Canis lupus familiaris: one gene and its partners. The protein of the gene in region 2 binds, or shares a complex with, the protein of the main gene of each other region. Links are inferred from orthologs where the notes say so. Each region holds a gene or a part of one and is shown on either strand. Other genes may lie near its edges.

What was found.
Region 1: the proteins of GRK1 (region 2) and RCVRN are in contact, whole or in part, in an NMR structure (PDB 2I94), measured with the Bos taurus proteins. The link is inferred for Canis lupus familiaris from reciprocal best matches to the Homo sapiens genes GRK1 and RCVRN. Residues at the interface, in NP_776598.1 of Bos taurus: Phe3, Gly4, Leu6, Glu7, Val9, Val10, Ala11, Asn12, Ser13, Ala14, Phe15, Ile16; in NP_776590.1 of Bos taurus: Lys22, Trp31, Ser34, Phe35, Glu38, Cys39, Phe49, Ile52, Tyr53, Lys55, Phe56, Phe57, Tyr86, Leu90, Thr93, Ser94, Phe188, Glu189.
Region 3: the proteins of GRK1 (region 2) and RHO are in contact, whole or in part, in a cryo-EM structure (PDB 7MT8), measured with the Bos taurus proteins. The link is inferred for Canis lupus familiaris from reciprocal best matches to the Homo sapiens genes GRK1 and RHO. Residues at the interface, in NP_776598.1 of Bos taurus: Leu6, Glu7, Thr8, Val9, Val10, Ser13, Ala14, Ile16, Ala17, Ala18, Arg19, Gly20, Asp23, Ala24, Glu184, Asp185, Trp186, Phe187, Leu188, Asp189, Phe190, Val192, Arg195, Glu200, Gln205, Met206, Lys207, Lys221, Arg222, Thr256; in NP_001014890.1 of Bos taurus: Lys66, Lys67, Arg69, Thr70, Arg135, Val137, Val138, Val139, Lys141, Ser144, Asn145, Phe146, Arg147, Phe148, Glu150, His152, Leu226, Thr229, Val230, Ala233, Gln236, Gln237, Glu239, Thr243, Ala246, Val250, Met257, Ile305, Tyr306, Met309.

Annotation. Positions count from the first base shown.
Region 1 is NC_049226.1:34,533,760-34,536,190, reverse strand, and holds part of RCVRN (recoverin), read left to right. Parts: intron 1-1,262; coding exon 1,263-1,374; intron 1,375-2,431. UniProt on the Homo sapiens protein: Acts as a calcium sensor and regulates phototransduction of cone and rod photoreceptor cells. Modulates light sensitivity of cone photoreceptor in dark and dim conditions.
Region 2 is NC_049243.1:61,066,806-61,071,131, forward strand, and holds the start of GRK1 (rhodopsin kinase GRK1), read left to right. Parts: upstream 1-1,402; coding exon 1,403-2,101; intron 2,102-3,656; coding exon 3,657-3,784; intron 3,785-4,326. UniProt on the Homo sapiens protein: Retina-specific kinase involved in the signal turnoff via phosphorylation of rhodopsin (RHO), the G protein- coupled receptor that initiates the phototransduction cascade.
Region 3 is NC_049241.1:5,708,874-5,713,273, reverse strand, and holds the start of RHO (rhodopsin), read left to right. Parts: upstream 1-1,568; coding exon 1,569-1,929; intron 1,930-3,911; coding exon 3,912-4,080; intron 4,081-4,400. UniProt on the Homo sapiens protein: Photoreceptor required for image-forming vision at low light intensity. Required for photoreceptor cell viability after birth.

The DNA of each region.
Region 1 (2,431 bases), on a different chromosome or scaffold from region 2:
GGTCCTGACAGGCTGTCCTTGGAGTTAGAAACTGGGCGAGGCAGGCAGGCACTTTCAGAGTTTAGCTGTGGGGCCGGTACATGGTTCCCCAGGCTCAGGACTGAGATGGAACCCGGCACCCACAGTTGGGTTGCTGGGCACCCCCGGGCTCTGAATGCTGCTGGCCGAGGCTGCTGCCCAGAGCTGCTGAGTTTGCTCCTCTTGCTATAGCATGTTGGTGCTGAAACTTCCCAGACCTGCTCGCCCTCCCTCCAGGCTAATGTCACAGGCAACACTGCCCCTGCCCGAGTGTGTGCAAGGTGCCCCCAACTCCACCCAACACGCTTGCCTGCACCCCTAGTCTGCCCCAACGCTCAGCGCATGGGCTGGAATGGGCTCAGGAGCCACTCAGGTGTCCACTCTGGCCTGGCTGGGCTGGACTTAACGAGCTGATGGGATCCTATAACCTGGAGCTGGCAGGGCACATTGAGACCACCTTGTCCCTCTCTGTTCTCCAGCCCCTTGGATGCTCTCCAAGTGATAGAGTGCAAGGATGAAGGTTCTAGAACCAAACTGCCTGGTTAGAATCTCCGTTTCTTCATCTGTAAAATGGGGCCAATGAAACCCACCTCATAAGGCCATTGTGGAGGTTACGTGTACAAGGGCATGTTACGCGTTCCATGAACATTAGCCGTTGTCACCATAAGCCAACCCAGCTGGGCAACCAAGGTACCACAGGGACCCCAAAGAAGCCATTTGAGGTGGCTGCTGTGGGATTATCAGAAAGCTTTTTGTTTTTTTTTTTTTTTAAGATTTTATTCATTTATTCATGAGACAGAGAGGCAGAGGCAGAAGGAGAAGCAGGCTCCCTGAGGGGAGCCCGATGAGGAATTTGATCTCAGGACCCCGGGATCATGATCTGAGCTGAAGGCAGATGCTTCACTGACTGAGCCACCCAGGCACCCAAGCTTTTTGTTTCTTATCTCATTTTCATTTTTTTTAAATAAAATGAAAGTATTGTTTCTACAGGGTCAGGAAATTCCATAGGTGTAGAGAAGGGGCAAAATAAGTGAAAGCCTTCTTTACCCCTTCACTCCGTTCCCTGTCCCTTCTGAGGATCTAAAAAATACAGATTCCCCAACTCTGCTCCCCTGGGCAGGCTGGGGCCTGGGAATCTGTATTTTCACCTCTGCTTGGGGGGATATCTGGCCCTGGGCATGGGGGTGGGGGAGGGTAACCCCTGCTTCTCCTTCTGATGGGAACTTCCTCTTTATGTGCTGCAGGCTATTTTCAAAATGATCAGTCCTGAGGATGTGAAGCAACTTCCAGAGGATGAGAACACCCCAGAGAAACGAGCAGAGAAGATCTGGGGATTCTTTGGAAAGAAAGATGATGGTGAATTCCTTCCCCCTTAAAAGCGTCTGGTTTTAGAGTCATGGGCTGTTTCCTGGAGGCCCCAGTGAGATTGGTCTTCCTAGGGCCAAGGGGATCCCTCCTCACGGCATGCACTGCAGGGCTATCTGAGTCCCTGGGGGAGAGGGGACCCCTCATCTTGGCATGCACTGCAGGGATCTCTGCATCCCTGGGGGTGCAGGGGGACAGTAAGCAGACCAGCCCAGCTCCACTGTCCCCCTGGAGCAGATGCTGCTGGTGGGGACTGGTGCCACATCCCCCTTGCCCCTTGACTCCATCACCGCCGAGCTCCCTGGGGCAGGGGGAAGGTCTGGATTCTGGAAGGCCAGGGAAGGAAAGGCACCTTAGAGCAGCGTTAGCGCCGGGGGAAGAATGGCTAAGTCAGGACAGCAGCTCCTTAGCCAAGGGCGTACCCACTGCGGGGTTACGGGCTCTGCAAACCACTTTCTGTTTCAGCGGAAGTGCTCACCTAGACGCCTGGGTGTACCTTACTTGGTTCCTAAAATGCTTTCTGCACAGTGAGGACAGGGCAAAGCTTCAGCTCGGCCTGTGTCTGAAGGGGCGTCGAGTCCCAAGTGAGCAGGATCTCAGTTTACCTGCTTTTACGCCGGGGAGTTAATTTGGGTTCCGACAGATGGAATTAGATTTAGATTGGGTTGGAAGCGATTTATTGAGAACTGGCCTTCGAGGGAAAGGAGGGGCTGGAGGAGCCTGGGGAGGCCCAGACTGCAGGGCAGCGGGGCCCCGAGTAGAGAGCCCAGGGCCGCTGAAGACTTGAGGCCGCAGCCCTGCTTTTGAAGGTTTTGGCAAAGCCAGGGGAGCCCCCGGGGGCCCCTTCTTCCACAGGCCGGCCTGCCTCGGTCCCTCCAATGCCCCTGCTCAGTCTTTGGCCACGAGCAGCCCTTGGAGAGGTGGGGTCTCCCTGAAAACAGGGAGGCATTCCAGAACAGGGCAGCTGGTCTGCAGGTGCGTGATGCTCAGGCCAACGCAGGCAGCACTGCAGAGGGGCGGCGTGGGCACGGCTGCAAGCTGGGCGGGG
Region 2 (4,326 bases):
GCAGATGCAGGTTGTTCCTTGGCCTCCTCTGCCTTCTGCCCTCACCCACTCATGGAACCTCCATGCCTCCCAGAGGAGGGACACGGGGTGGGCTGGTCCTGCTGGTCTCCTCTGGCTTCTACATTCTTGTTTCCATAACCTCACTTCCTCCCCTCTTCAAACTCTAACCGACCCCCATCACTTCCTTCCCTGCACATTTACAGAGTACCTGCTGCATACTAGACGGACAACACCTTGCCCCTATGAGTCTGACATTTCTGTTGGTCCTGGCATCCCCAGGGGTGTCCCCCAGGGGCGTGCCCCCAGGTGTATCCCCCTAGGTGTGTGCCCCCAGGTATGTCCCTCAGGGATGTACCCCCAGGCGTGTCCCCCTAGGTATGTGCCCCCAGGAATGTCCCTCAGGGATGTGCCCCAGTTGTGTCCCCCAGCTGTGTCCCTCAGAGGTGTGCCCAGTTTTGTCCCCCAGGTGTGTGCCCCAGGTGTGTCCCTCTAGGTGTGTGCCCCCAGGTATGTCCCTCAGGGATGTGCCCCAGGTGTGTCCCCCAGGTGTGTCCCCCAGATATGCCTCCAGGTGTGTCCCTGGCCTCATCATTGCCCTCTCATTCCTGTTTCTCTGTTTGAGGCCTCAGCCCTGGATGTGGCTGGGGGTCTCCTGCTTCTAACTTCACCTGAAGCTTCTCTTGGGTGTTTATGTTTTGCTGGCACAGCTCAGGAGAGGGGAGGGAGCTGATGCGGAGCTGATCCCCCGGCAGGTGCTGAGGTTACCTTAGGTCCTCAGAGCTGGCAGGTGACCCGAGGGCAGGCTCCTGTCAGTGTCAGGCCAGGTCCCCACATACTAACCAGTCCCCCTGCCAGTGGTTTCACTCTTGAATACCCAGTGAGCGGTTCACTGTGGGTTTTTTTTCTCTCTGAATTCCTGATATCAGCTGTTTTTCCTCCTGCTTTCTATCTTCTTAAGACAAAAATGAAATACAGTAGGAAAGCCACAGCCATCTTATATTAAGTTGGGGTTTCTCCCGGGCCCCTCTGCTTTCTGTTTGGCCTCCGGCTCACGCAGGGGAACAAGCAGGTGCGCCACCTGCCAGGGCTGAGGACCCAACAGGGCAGCTTCAGGGAGGTCCATCGGGGTCTGCACTTTGTCCTCAGAGGAAGCAATGGGGAGGATGGGCATCTAATCCGCCTGGAAGCAGCTTAGAGGATTGTCTTTTTCTGGCACCTGCTCTGTGACCCCGGGCTGGGATTTGGCTGGAGCTGTGTCAGCTGGGTTCCCTGGGCTCCCGGCGAGGCCCCCAGTCACTCTTCACCTATTGGGACGCCTGCAGTCTGGGGAGGGCAGGGGGCACAGGCCCCGGACAGTGGGTCAGGCCTCTCGAGCCTAACTCGGCAGGAGGCCAGCACCGGGATGGATTTCGGTTCCCTGGAGACGGTGGTGGCCAACTCAGCCTTCATTGCCGCCCGGGGCAGCTTCGATGGGAGCAGTGGCCCATCTTCTCGGGACAGGAAGTACCTGGCTAAGCTCAAGTTGCCTCCACTGTCCAAGTGTGAGGGCCTCCGGGAGAGCCTGGACCTGGCGTTCCCAAGTGTGTGCTCAGAGCAGCCCATCGGCAAGCGGCTTTTCCAGCAGTTCCTGGGGGCTGATGAGAGGCATGTGCCAGCTCTGGAGCTCTGGAAGGACATCGAGGACTATGACACTGCAGATGACGACCTCCGGCCACAGAAGGCCCGGGCCATCCTGGCTGAGTACCTGGACCCCCAGGCCAAGCTCTTCTGCAGCTTCCTGGATGAGGGGGTAGTGGCCAAGTTCCGGGAAGGGCCCACGGCAAGTGAGGATGGGCTGTTCCAGCCCCTGCTGCAGGCTACCCTGGAGCACCTGAGCCAGGCGCCCTTCCAGGAGTACCTGGGCAGCCTGTACTTCCAGAGGTTCCTGCAGTGGAAGTGGCTGGAGGCCCAGCCTACGGGGGAGGACTGGTTCCTGGACTTCAGGGTCCTGGGGAAAGGTGGTTTCGGGGAGGTGTCTGCCTGCCAGATGAAGGCGACTGGCAAGTTGTATGCGTGTAAGAAGCTCAACAAGAAGAGACTCAAGAAAAGGAAGGGGTACCAGGTGGGCAGCTGACTGTTCACGGTGGTGGGAGGGCCATCGGGCTGTGTCCGGTCCTGCGCGGGGCCCTTTGTGGGCTGGCTCCTCTGACCTTGGGACACCGGGCCCCTCCTACTGGGCAGCCTCCTGATCCTGAGCCAAGGGCCTGGCCCCCGGGGCATAGAGGGGGTGTCCTCAGCTCTGCCACCCTGGCCCAGCACTCTGCACACCACAGGGTTTGCCCTGACCCCTCATCAGAGGCGGCCTTAGAGGTGTTTGTTAGTGTGGGCGGTATTGCATATCCTGCCAGCTGTCATCTTTTTTTTTTTTTTTTAAGATTTATTTTAGAGAACACGTGTGCACGAGTGGGGAAGGTGGGGTAAAGGCAGAGGGAAAGAGAGTCTTAAGCAGACTCTGAGCTGAGTGCAGAGCCCAACGCAGGACTCAGTCCCATGACCCTGACCCTGAGATCATGACCTGAACTGAAACCAAGAGTTGGACACCCAACTGACTGCACCATCCTAGGTGCCCCTCCTGCCAGCCGTCTTGTGTTTTTACCACCATCATGAAATTTGGGAACAAGTGTTGGGGGAGGCTGTTGGCTTCCTGGAGCTCTCTTGGCCCTGGCTTGTCTGTGACGGAGAGCACGCTGGGAGTCCAGCCGCTGGGAGTCCAGCCAGGCCTGGTAGCATCCGCCATGCTTTCTCCGGGCCGGAGTGAACCAAGCACATGGGGTTGCTGCATGGGGTCTGCTCTGCATGGGGTCAGGCTCCGTTGAGGCAGGACAGTGGATGCTGCTGTGTTGTAGGAGCTTGTCTCATCCCATGTGGTCCCTTGTCTTTCCTGCCAATGGAGCACAAATGCAACTTTTGGGGTTAACAGCAGCCACCCAGGGTGCCCACCCCAGGGCTTCTCAGTAGTGCTGTCCCTTTGGGGCTACGGGACAAGCAGGCATCCCTTCCAACTGTCCACGTGTGGTCTGAACCCAGCATCTTCTGTCCGAGGTCGGGGTCCTCACTGAGCCTAATACTCAGCAAGAGCAACCTGACATCTGCTCCGTAGTGTGGATGCAGAGGGCTCCCAGAACACCAGGATCCCTCCTTCCAAAAGGAATTCTACCCTCCTTAACCAAACATAATTTTAAAAAACATGTTAAATGGACATCGTGAGGTTTTAAAATACAGTTGGAAGATGAAGAGATGCTGCTGGGTCCCTGGCTGGCCGCTGCCCAGGGCCTGGAGAGGAGGTTGGGGCCTGGGGTTGCAGTGGGCAAGCTGGCCGGGTGTACCGAAGGCCCGGAAGGAAGGTCAGCACCACACAGGCTGCCATTGCCTGTGCTGGGTCCTCCGGTGTTTTTAAGGCTGGTGGTCTGACTCCTGCCCCTTGCTGGCGAGTCCTCTGTACACCCACACATTTGCACGGCTGGTTGGGGGATGAGTGAGATGTCTGTAGGTTGTTTGCAATTGTGTGGTGCAAGCTCCTTCAAGTGTGTTTGCATCTATTTTCTGGCATGTGGGACTTGGTCTTTTTGGTGACATCCTGCTTAAACCTGATAATATTTCGACATCTTGCTTTTCAGGGTGCTATGGTGGAGAAGAAGATTCTAGCAAAGGTACACAGCAGGTTTATAGTCTCTCTGGCCTATGCATTTGAAACCAAGACTGACCTCTGTCTGGTGATGACCATCATGAATGGAGGCGACATAAGGTAAATGGGGGGGCTGCCCACACGTGTAGAGAATATGGTGACCTGAGGTAAAGCCCTGGGCCCCCATCAACATGCTCCTCCCGTCCCCCAGTGGCTGATACTCTGCAGTCCTATGTGAAATGTGGGACCACGGGCAGATGGCCCGTGGCTCTCTAGCTCCTGGTGGACCTGAGGTTCATGTGACCACATAGGGGTGGAGGCAGCAGGAGCACAGGGTGCCACAGGGCAAGTGCTAACTGGGCAGACAGATGAAAGAAGGCTTGGGTGGAGGGCAGGGGTTGAGGACACTGCTTTGTGACCTGCTCTTGGGGATGACGGCAGAGCTGGAAACGTGACGTGGCCAAGTTCTGGGACCGGCGCTTTGCTGCCAGTGGATGGTGTCTGGATTTGCCGGGCGTCTGAGGACCCAGCCCTGGACTCCGGAGGATGTCAGGCCACTGGCTTTCAGTAGGGAAAGACCCAGGTGCAGCCCAGGCAGTCTGACTGCTCTTGCCTCCATGCACTGGTCTGTAAAACTAGTGTTCTCAGGGCATTATGGAGAG
Region 3 (4,400 bases), on a different chromosome or scaffold from region 2:
TAACCCCACAGAACGATACTTCCTGCAGGCATCCTCCTTCTGCACTGCATTTGTCAGAACCGAGCATCTTGTCGGTGCTCCATACACACATGTACTGGAGGGTGGTCCTAAAGCATCCTTGTGCTGGGCACTCCTGTCTGCTCCACTTCATTCCTCAGAAGCATCATGGTGCTCCTTTCACTGATGGGGGGAGCCTGTACATGCTGAGCCTCCATTTGCCCCCAGAACCCCCTTTCATGGGGTTACCTGCCACATAGCTTCCAAGGCCCACTGACCCAGCCCAGTCTGACCAGACGTCCCTAGATGTGCCCTGCATGCTGCAGTGTCCAGCCAATTCTGTTTCCAGGCTGGGCTTTGCCTTCACATTGGAGTCCCAGGAGGCCACAACCAAGCCTGTCTTGCTCACGGCAGTAATCTGGTGCCCAGCACAGCAAGCCCTGGTCTCCTTTTCTATCCTCATTTCCTCCAATCTGCCCCTGAGATCTGCCCAAGACACTGCCCACTGCCCTTTAGATAAAACCAGGCTCCTCAGCCTGGCATCAAGATCCATCAGAGCTGGCCCCAGAGCCCATGTGCAGCCTCACCCCCAAACAGGCCCCTGCCTCAGGCCCCTACCAGCTCTTGTCTTCAGTCTCCCGTCTTTCCCACTTGGCAACCTAGCAATATACTCCTCTTCCTCAAACCCCACCTCCCCAGACACCTCCCTTTCATAGACAGTCTCCCCTGCCTTAGCTTCATGGAAGCCCCTCCCTGGACTTGGATCTGCTCTTCCCACATCAGAGTCTTTCTCAGTCCATAACCTCCTCCTTTCTGGATCTTTGTATCCTCAATGGTCTGTACATAAATGTTTCATGAATGAGAGAGCGAGTGGATTCCAACTCAAATACCTAGTGAGCTCCTGGGCTATGCCGGGCTGTGTGTCTGGCATGAAGAGTGCTACAGCTGGCAGGATGAGGCCCCTGCCCTCACAGAGCTCATAATCTGGTGAGGTGGGCTGGGCTCAGAGCCTGGCAACTGGATGAGCCAGGAGGTGACTTGTGGGGAAGAAATTGGTAAAGGGCTGCGTGGGGAGTCAGGAGACTGAGAATAACCAGAGCCTCTACCCTTTGGGAGCTCGTTGTCCAGTGGGGAGACAAAGTCAGCTCACATGAGTGAGGGAGACATGGCATGGAGCCAGAGGTCCCAATGCCAGGCCAAGGCCACCAGACTGATCTGGGCAGAGATTCCTGGGGACCAGAAGAGTTGGGGGCGGGCCTTCTGCCCTTTCCCAGGGTCCCCAGCACCTCCCCTCTCTGGCCCCAGGCTTCTGTCTAGAGTCACCTTGGCCACTCTTGGAAGCCAATTAGGCCCCTAGTTGCGGCAGTGGGGATTATTATGATTAATAACGCCCCCAATCTCCCAGGTGCTGATTCAGCCAGGAGCTTAGGGAGGGGAGGTCACTTTATAACGGCCTGGGGGGGGGGTCAGAGCCTGAAGTCGTCCTGCCGGAGCCCTGGGTGGCCAAGCTCAGGCCTCAGCAGCACTCTTAGGACTGAGCCGCCCACGGGGCAGCCGCCAGGACCGCAGCCATGAACGGGACGGAGGGCCCGAACTTCTACGTGCCCTTCTCCAACAAGACGGGTGTGGTGCGCAGCCCCTTCGAGTACCCACAGTACTACCTGGCTGAGCCATGGCAGTTCTCCATGCTGGCTGCCTACATGTTTCTGCTGATCGTGCTCGGCTTCCCCATCAACTTCCTCACGCTCTACGTCACAGTCCAGCACAAGAAGCTGCGTACACCTCTCAACTACATCCTGCTCAACCTGGCTGTGGCTGACCTCTTCATGGTCTTCGGTGGCTTCACCACCACCCTCTACACCTCTCTGCATGGATACTTTGTCTTCGGGCCCACAGGATGCAATGTGGAGGGCTTCTTTGCCACACTGGGCGGTATGAGCTGGGGTCTCAGTGGTGGGATGGGGCGGGGGGGATACGGGAGCCAGGAGGAGTGGAGGGATCTGGAGAGACAGCCCGTACTTGGGGATGGTGTCTAAGAGGGCTGCTCCCCACTATGTTCACCAGCAGTGTCTACTTGATCAACACACACTGTTAGTGATGATAAGCTAGGCTGTTTATTGAGGGCAGGCATTGGACACTGTCGCTCTCTTCCTTTACACCAAGGAATCTGAGCATGAGAGAAGTCAATGGCCTTGCTGGGGCCACACTGTGGTGGGGAGTTTCCACCCCACATCGCTCTGGCCCCTCGGGCCATGTTCTGTTTCCCTTGGAGCACCTGTGCTGGTCAGACCCATGCCGGGCACTGGGGATAGGGGTGGACAGGTTGGATCCCTGAGCTCAGGGCTCTCAGCCCAGGATGGCACACAGATGATCAGTTCTCCAGCCACTGGACTCTGCCTGTGTTGGGCAATGTGCTCAGTCTCTCCCCACTGGCATCCATCTGACCCTGCAGAGAAGGGTCTGTCTATATGTGGTACCCCTGTCTCACCCCTGTCTCGTGGCCTGAAGCTGGGTGATCTGTGTTCATTGAGGGTGACAAACACCCAGTGATGGCTGGAGATTCCCTGGGAATGGGGCTGAGACAGCGCCCTGGACATGTGAAGCAAAGAGAAGACAAGGCGACAGAGCAGTCCTTTGGCTGATGCTAGGCTCTGCAGCCACCCCGGGCTCTCTCCTGCTTGCCTGAGAGGCTGTGTGTCCCAGAGAAGGGGGGCCAGTCCTGGATCTGAGCCGGAAGACCCAGGCCCTGGTCACTGCCCTGCCACATCCCTGAATGTGTTTCTTCCCTTCTCCTGGCCTCACTTTCCTCAGCTGCTAAACAGGATCTATTGTCTCTCCAGCACCCTCATCACTTTTCCAAAGAAACTATTCGAAATCATCTTTTTTTTTCTTTTTAAAAGACTTTATTTATTTATTCATGAGAGACACAGAGAGAGGCAGAGGCAGAGGTAGAGGGAGAAGCAGGCTCCCTGTGGGGAGATGATGTGGGACTCGATCCAGGACCCGGGATCACGCCCTGAACTGAAGGCAGATGCTCAAGCACTGAGCCACCCAGGCGTCCCTCGAAAGCATCTTTCAAAGCTACAGATCACCACACAATGTAATGCCTTCCTATGGAAGGAGTTTCTTCAGAGGGGAAGAACTTCCCCACACAAAAAGGCTGGAAGACAGGGATGAGAAGGTACCATGTACAGGTGGGCACTTCCATGCAAGGTTGGCACCAGTTTACAATTATTATTTTGGAGTAATAATTATTAGCGTTCACTTTGTCTCTCAGAAACATCCTGGTTTGGTTGATAGAGTCTATGGCCAACCTCCCCATTGAGTTTTGGGGTAATGTTTGAATACCCCCATTCTTTTTTTTTAAGATTTTATTTATTTATTCATGAGAGACACAGAGGGAGAGAGGCAGAGACACAGGCAGAGGAAGAAGCAGGCTCCATGCAGGGAGCCCAATGTGGGACTCAATCCCCAGACCCTAGGATCACAACCTGAGTCAAAGGCAGATGCTCTACTGCTGAACCACCCAGGCACCCCCAAATTTCCCCATTCTTTTCTGCTTCTTCCTCTGGGCAAATGATTCCCCAGCTTCCTGGCTCTGAGATGCGGGACCCATAGACCCAGGTTATTTCATTCCCCAAGTGGAAGAGGCCACTGCTTAAGAGGGAGGGAGGATGTCCAACTCCAACAGGCACTCTGCCTGTCACCCCGGTCTACTCCGCACATTCTCCTTCGCAGACTGGTTCTTCACCCCTCTTCCCAGAGTCCAAGCCATCTCCATCCCAAGTCCTGGCCCCAGCCCTGCCCCAGGCTGCCTTCCTGGCCGCCCTCTCCCACCCAGGAGTGCTCCCTCCTTAGGCAGTGGGGTCCAGGTAGGTGGTGTGTTGACTGATCAGTCCCTGACTGCCTTGCAGGTGAAATTGCCCTGTGGTCTTTGGTGGTCCTGGCCATTGAGCGGTACGTGGTGGTGTGTAAGCCCATGAGCAACTTCCGTTTTGGGGAGAACCATGCCATCATGGGCGTCGCCTTCACCTGGGTCATGGCGCTGGCCTGTGCGGCACCCCCCCTCGCTGGCTGGTCCAGGTAATGGCACTGAGCAAAAGAGAAGGGTCCCCGTCCCCGGGGGGGAGGTCTCTGTAGGGTCCCTCACCCAGGACTCAAACCTGGTGCTGTCTGGTTCTGGGCATCGAGCTTATATGTCCCCTACTCTAAACGGCCACCCTGACAGCTCTCCCAAGGGAGGAGTTTAGGGCAAGGGAAGAGAGAATCAGACCCTAATGTTGCTATGGGGGCTGGTCCCATCTCCTGAGCCCCCATGTCAAGGAGAATCCAAGACGCCCCAACCCTTCACCTTGGCTGTGCCCCTAATCCTCAACTAAGCCAGGGCCAGATTCCAATCCTCT